Oryctolagus cuniculus: one gene and its partner. The protein of the gene in region 2 binds, or shares a complex with, the protein of the main gene of each other region. Links are inferred from orthologs where the notes say so. Each region holds a gene or a part of one and is shown on either strand. Other genes may lie near its edges.

Region 1 (4,297 bases), on a different chromosome or scaffold from region 2:
GCCCTTGGGTTCCTGCACCCTTGTGGGAGACCCGGAAGAAGCTCCTGGCTCCTGGCTTCAGATTGGCGCAGCTCCAGTTGTGGCCGTCTGGGAAGTGAACCAACAAATGGAAGATCATTCTCTCTCTCTGCCTCTGATCTCTGTAACTCTGACTTTCAAATAAATAAATAAATCTTTTTTTAAAAAAAAAGGCAGTTTTAATGAGGATAAAAATAGAAAATTCAAAACATAGTTAACAGAGGAAAAGTTATATTAGGAATAACGTTATTCTATACTATGACTTGAGTTAAATACATGTGTGTATTTGTATAAGAATGTACTTATACATCGTTCTATATAAACAGAATATATCTGATAAGGCACACAAAAAGTCAACAGTGTTTTTCCCCAGGAAATGAAAGTGGATGGGCGGGGCATCAGGGGTGGGAGCAGACTCTGTTTTCCCTGATAGAACCCTCTGTAACGTTTTCATTTCCTACTGTGAGCACACCCATGTTCAAAACATGGTAATGATTGTAAGGACGCAGCACTGTAGGGATTCTGCTTGACATTACTCCAGCCACTTTGGACATAATCACCATCTTGCTCTTTAGGTGTCCCTAGAGGTCATCCCAAGCCCTGAGAAAGGGCTTTATCTGATGCCTGGTTTGTTGCTATTTCTTGAGAAAGTCCAGGAGCACCTAGGTGAGCCCGGGACTGTCTCTGTCCAGCTTAACATGCAAACCCATTAACACTGACCAAGACTGCAAGGATCCATTGTCTTGTGGTTGCCCAAGACCACACTTCCGTCCATGAGTCCCCCCAGTAAATGAAAGCCCATGTCATCTTGGATCTGTCCTCTTTCTTTAGTCTCACAACACCTGCCTTTGGTGGCCAGTTCTTACACACCAGGTTATTCCAAAATAAACATACAGGGAACAGTCACAGACTGTGAAAAAAGCTTTCCATGAACCAAGCAAGTGGACGATTAAACACAGGCTCAGAGCTGGGAAGCATTTCGCCCGGTGCCACACAGCAAGTATTAGAAGAAAGAATTCAAATGCAAGTTTGTCTATTGACTCATGGGTGCTCTTCCCAGTGTTCCTATTGCTCTCAAGTAGGGATAAGACACTTTGGAAACAGACTTTTAAAAAGAAAGAAAGAAATTTTTATAGAGTGTCACACTTCACTTAAGAACAGAGATGTGTTCAAGGAAGTACACCAGAGGTAATTTTGTCACTGTTTTCACATCAGAGTGTAGCTGGATGGTACAGTACCCAACCTGGCCCCTTGATTCAACTATGACACAAGGCAAGTACAAGGTGTATGAGGCTGCTGTCAGTGTCATACGATATACTGTTTCACAGCATGTCATTTCTATAGAAGCAGAAAGCATCTCTAAAACAATGATTAAAATACAGTATATATAAACCAGTGACACATTTATTATCATTATAAAGAATTATATGCTATCATTGCATTGCTGCACTTTTTTCAGACAAAATATTATAGGTTTATTTAAAACTTAATTCTCACCTTGTGTATCCAAAATGTTCCATTTTTTAACCGTAGCTTACAAACATACAAAATAGAAGTTTGCTTAACTTTGTACTACATATTTATCAAGGCAAGAAACTACATAATAAAAACATTTGTTCTGCTTACGTCATCCTTGGGAATAAACCATTGTACAAATTATTGCACATCTGAAGTTACAGTGCATGAAAATGTTAAAGAAGTTAAAGTAGGTGTATTTACCTGAGCTAGGTCGTACATGTAGATCAGAAGACAACACACTGTCCTTGTCAAAGCAGGCAGCAGTTTAAGAACTTAGGCTTCCTCACTGGGCACCTGTACCACCAAGACTCACCAAGCACCCTCATTCTTGCTATGCACACACATTTTCTGTAACTGAATTTCTACCTCGTCTAACATGGGAACAATGGCTTTTAGAAGGCAAAGAGAACACAAGGTGATCTTTGTACTTACATTGCACCAAAGCTCAATTCATGACAATTCTGGTCTTCCCTCGCCCCAAGGCTTGGCTCTTCTTGATACCCTGATATCCACAACTTCCAGTCAGTCCCTAGGCGGTCCGTCTAAGTCCAGAAATACTCAAGTTGAATTAGAATTGGAATGATAGAAGATCCGGCCGCAGACCCCACATGCCCTCAGATTTTTGTCTTCCGGATTCCTCCTTTCTCCTGATTATCCATTCAGGAGTTGACTCCTTGGGAACTTGAAAGTGTAGTGCTTTCTGGCTGCGCTTCCCTCGCGTCAGGAAAACAGTGTCAAAGGCTAAAAATACTGAATTCTCTTCCAGCAGCGTGGGTCCTGGCCACTGGCTGGGATTTCAAAGTGCCTCTTCTTGAGTAAGGCGAAGCACTCCGACCCGAAAAACGCCGGAGCGCACCTCTGGCACTGGAACGGCCGATGCCCGGTGGGGTCATCGGAGCAACTTCCACCTACAAGCCATGCCGGTGACAGCGGCACTGTCCCCCACCTGTGTGGGTTCGCAGGTGTGCCTGAAGACGAGAACGTTTTTGCGTGGACTTTGGCCCGCGCAATCGGAAGTGTGGGTGGCCATCCCTTTCCGCGGCCACCACCTCCTTCACCTCTTTGGCTTGGACTCCTCCGCCAGGCAGGAACCGGATGCCACGAGCTCTTGGTGACGGAGCGGCAGTCCCTGCGGCTGCATCTGGTCGGGCAGGAAGGGCGAATGGTTGAGCCCGAGATGGGGCTGGAAGCCCGGAGGAAGCGACAGGGCGGGGTGACAGTGCCCGCTGCTCCGCAGTTCCTCGGGGACCCGGGGCCCGGGGTAGTCCTGCTGGAGAGCTGTCGCCCCAGGGGGAAGTCGTGTGCAGTCGGCCGCTGGCCGTGGCTGAGATCCAGGGGCCCACTGCGCAAGTGGGCCTCTAGGGGCCGACTGACGGCCTCCGGCTAGCTTTCGGGCGCTGTGGGGCGCCGCCAACGCCCGGCGGTTGCCCCCAGAGCCGCCCCTGCTAACACGGACGAACACGCGGGGTTGCCGTACTCGCGGCCGGGGGCGCTCACTGCCTTCAGCCTTACACCTGGCGGTAGCGGTCTCTGCGGCGGGACGGACACGGGGTCCAATCCCGGCCGCAGGAAGCCGCCCGGCGGGCTCAAGTCGTGGCTGTCCGCCAGCTTGGAAGGGAGCCGTGGGAGGGGGCGCAGGCTCCAGGCCAGGGAGCTTGGCCGCCGCCCGGGTCGCCCCCGGGTCGCGCGGATCCGGTGGCTGAAGCTGGCAAGGCGGAGCGCGCACCAGCGAGACCGCTGCATGGCGGGGAGGACGATGCAGAGGCAGACGCCGAGGAGGACGCGGAGGCGGCGGCCCCGAGTCTTCCGCCGCCGGGGCGTAGGGGCGGCCGGGGGAGGTCGCTTCGTGCGGGAGAGCTCCTCCCGCCAGCTGTTATGGGGCTCCCGCGGGGCGCAGTGTCTTCCGCCCTCTCGCCGCGCCGCACGTGAACGCGGGGAAGCGCGGGAGCGGAGCACCGCGGACAGCCACGTCACACTCGCCCGGGGGCCGCCTCACGAATGTGGGGGCCCGGGCGGTCCTCAGGAGCCCGAAGCAGCCAGGGACCCCGAAAACCCCAAAGTCAGCGAAGGAGGGGGGCGGGGCTTAGAAACGAAGTCACAACCTTAGTGGCCCGAGATGCGGCTGCTTTCGATTAAATACAAATTGAAGACGTCTCTTTAAAATTCTTTTATAGACAAAAAGTTATTAGTTATACACTCATAAAAATAGTGAGCAAGGCGGGTACGTAGGTCCGGTGGCCACGCTGCCCTCTGGGCGGCGTCCCCGGCCGCGATCGCGGTCTCTGTGGCCGGAGAGGCGGTGGCGGGCGGCGCGGCGCGGAGAGGGCGGCGGCGGCGGTGCGGAGTCCTGGGGGCTGCGCGGGGCCACGGCCGCGGGTCGGGGTGAGTGAGGGCCGGAGGGTGGGCAAGGGGCGACTCGGCGGCTCCTCTCAAGGCCCTGGAGCTGCCCGACTGCTACACTCGGGTACAACTGGCAGAGCAGCAGTTATGTTCACGCCAGCGCCATTATACACAGGTAAGTAATGTGTTGGAAACGTCACCAGTCAATAGGGATTTTTCAGCTTCCGCCTGAGGCCGCTGTCACCCATGAGGTCCTAGTGGACAGGGACACTAGTAAGAGGCACAGGACTGCATTTCATCTCAAGTTGGGGGTGGGGGGAATGGCTTCATCCCAGCATCTGCCATCTGGCCACCCACCTTCTCTTCCTCCTCCTTGTCTCAGTCTTCTCCCTAACAGGGATCCAGCACTTCCGCCCACCAC
Region 2 (3,040 bases):
AAGATACAAAGTAAAGGAGTTGGAGGAGGGGCGTGAAGGGGAAGGGAGGGAGGGATGTGCGGAGCATCCCAAAACAAGCAGAAGTGCACACGCTCACTCGGATTTGGAACTCAAGTGAAAGAAAACATCTTTCCAACACTCCAGACAGACGGACGCTTTCTCATGGGGACGTTAGTCTTTGAGGAGGGGCCAAAAGAACCCTTCGGGAGCTTGACAATGCTAGACCTTTGGCTCAGTGCAAAATCAAAGCTCCAGTGGGGAGGAAACAGACTCCAGGCCGGCCCGATCTCCACCCTTCCCAGTGCATTGTTCAGGGGAGCTACTGCTACCACAAACACGAGGCACCGCCACGATGCTGCGGTTTCCCCCCTCCTCCATCCCTCTGGCTCGCAGCAGCTCCTCCCTGGCAACAGTCGAGGCCCAGAGACGGTCCCCCTACCCCCACCCCCGACGCCGGGTGGTGGGCGACCATGTAACAGTGCTTCCCACGGGTTGGCAGCTGTCCGTTTTAGGAGGACGAGTTGACGTTGCCAGAAGACATGATGGTCTCGGGGTTGTCCCCATCGTCCTTCTGGGGGTGGGAGGAGTTGTCCGATTTACTGCGACTGAATTCCACGCCCGCGATGATGGGGCGCTTGAACTTGCCGGCCGAGTCTCCGCTGGGACACTTGCAGCAGGACATGATCCGGATGAAGGCCCGGCGCATCTCCTTGTTGGTCAGCGTGTAAATGATGGGGTTGGTGCCGGAGTTGAGCACAGCCAGCACCAGGAAGTACTCCGCTTTGAAGAGGATGTCGCAGGTCTTCACCTTGCAGCCCACGTCCAGCAGAAGCAGGATGAAGAGCGGGGCCCAGCAGGCGATGAAGACGCTCAGGACGATGATGACGGTCTTGAGCAGCGCCAGCGACTTCTCCGAGCTGCGGCTGGCCTTGGAAATGTTCTTGCGGAAGGTCAGCCGGCGGCTCCGAGTCCTGACCAGGGAGTAGATCCTGCAGTACAGGATGACGATGGAGAGCAGGAGCAGGGTGAAGACGGTGGTGCAGAAGAGGATATAGTGCTTGTGGTAGAGCGGCAACACGGTGGAGCAGCTGGACAGCGTGCTGATGCAGTTCCAGCCCATGATGGGCAGGCCACCCAGGATGAGCGAGATGACCCAGCAGGCGCTGATGAGCAGGAAGGAGCGGAAGCTGTTGCTGCCATTGTGCAGCTTCATCTTCAGCATGGTGATGTAGCGCTCGATGGCGATGGCCAGCAGGCTGAACACCGACGCAGAGAGCGCCACAAACATACTCCCTTCCCGCAGGAACCACTGCGCCGGCGTCAGCTTGTAGGTGGTGGCCCCCGACAAGAGCAGGTTGGCGGTGTAGGCCACTCCCGCCAACAGGTCTGAGAGGGCCAGGTTGCCAATAAAGTAGTACATGGGGCGGTGGAATTTCTTGGTTTTCCAAATGGTCAGCAAGACAAAGATGTTCTCCAGGATGATGAAGCAGCAGATGAGAATGAAAACCACCGAAGTCAGCTTAATGCCATTCTCCTTGTCCGCGCTGATGTTCAGCTTCCCCGTGTAATTGTAATGCCGCACGATGATATCGTAGTTGACATAGTCGGAGACCGAGTTGCGGAGGGCCTTGACCAGCGGGATGTTGGTGGGCCCCATGGTACCCGCTCTGTCTCCGCGCCACGAACCCGGGGAGCTCTTCTCCGGACGAGCGCTAGAGGGCGAGGCTGAGGCACGAGCTGTCACCCGCTGCCGGGGAGGTTCAGGGAGCAATCCAGGCTTTTTTGTGCAGCCTTGCCTTGCCTGGGGAGAGCCTCAGAAACCGCAGCCTGAAACAAGTCACAAAGAGGAAGGAGTCAGGCAGAAAGCCACAGCACACTGGTATAATTCATTCTGGCCAAGGCACTGCTCCAGTTTTGTTCTTGTTGATTTGGTTTAGGGAAACGTAGGGAGGGGAACTTTTTTGTTAAATAAATTTCTTGCAAAAAGGGGGGTGGGGCCGTTGGGGGTAGGGGCGAGGGGAAACAGAGGAAGAAAGCCCAAACATTTACCCAAGCTGAAAATTCCAAACAGAAGAGACGAAAACTCTCTCCCTATTGTCACAGCCGCTCAAATGGAAATGGGAAACCTGGGGTGCATGGCGGAAGGAGTAGGGGTGGGGAGGCGCCCCATTCGGACTCCACTCTCGCCTGCTCGCCCCACCCTCGACGCCCTGATTTCCATTCGGGAGATTCTCCGAAGCCGCCACCAGCTCAGCTGTGCGCTCACCACCAGCTCACGGCCTCTCCTCGGAAGACACTTAACCGCCAGCCACAGGGTGGAGACGCACACCTCTTCCCTTGCCCCACTTTACCCCCCACCCACGCCAAGCTCAAGGACGCAAGCACCACCTCCTAATTGCCATGCAAGAAATTAGATTTGCACGAAAATCATTTGACAGCGCAAGTCATTTTTTGGACTCTATTAATAACTCTCTAGGAGCAGGTGTGCTTAGGGTCGGAGGGCGCAGCGAGGTGTGGGCAGGCGGGTCCGCCCCATCTTGCGGTAAACAGGAAAGCTTAGCGCCTCCGTGAAGCAACTGCCTTTTCTACCTTCTTCTTTTTTTTCCCGCAAGTCAGTGCAAGTAAATTTAAAGGCGCTCAGTGCAAACCATTCATAAGAGATTGCAGCAAATCTCATAAGTTTTGCACATCGGTTGATTGCATAAATATTTTAGGGTTAGTATCACACGAGAGAGAGAAACAGAGGGGAGAGAGGGAGGGAGAGAGAGAGAGAGAGAAAGTTACAGGGCTAAAGATAACAACAGTTCATGCCACCGCATTCCTAATCTCCAATGCAAAAGCGCTCTCCAAAAAGGCGCCCACACAGACGTCTAGGGCATTGCTAAACTCGCCGGCGCAGCCTCATTTACGGCTGCCCTCCAACGCTCTGCCTCCTTTAAACACCCAGAAACTGAAGGGAATGACGCCCAGCAGCAATCTGCAAAAGTCTCTTTCAAGTTGGTTAAAAGTTTCAAGGTAAGGTTGCAAAGAAAAAGTGCAG

Evidence for each region. Proteins that work in one complex are often made in the same cells at the same time.
Region 1: the proteins of S1PR1 (region 2) and early activation antigen CD69 are in contact, whole or in part, in a cryo-EM structure (PDB 8G94), measured with the Homo sapiens proteins. The link is inferred for Oryctolagus cuniculus from reciprocal best matches to the Homo sapiens genes S1PR1 and CD69. Residues at the interface, in NP_001307659.1 of Homo sapiens: Asn157, Leu160, Phe161, Ile164, Ser165, Trp168, Val169, Leu172, Ile173, Gly176, Ile179, Met180, Gly181; in NP_001772.1 of Homo sapiens: Val41, Ala44, Val45, Val48, Val49, Thr52, Ile53, Ile56, Ile59, Ala60, Val63.

What each region holds. Positions count from the first base shown.
Region 1 is NC_091440.1:101,265,502-101,269,798, forward strand, and holds the start of early activation antigen CD69, read right to left. Parts: upstream 2,812-4,297; 5' UTR 1,969-2,811; intron 1-1,968. UniProt on the Homo sapiens protein: Transmembrane protein expressed mainly on T-cells resident in mucosa that plays an essential role in immune cell homeostasis.
Region 2 is NC_091438.1:69,072,811-69,075,850, forward strand, and holds S1PR1 (sphingosine 1-phosphate receptor 1), read right to left. Parts: upstream 1,658-3,040; coding exon 509-1,657; downstream 1-508.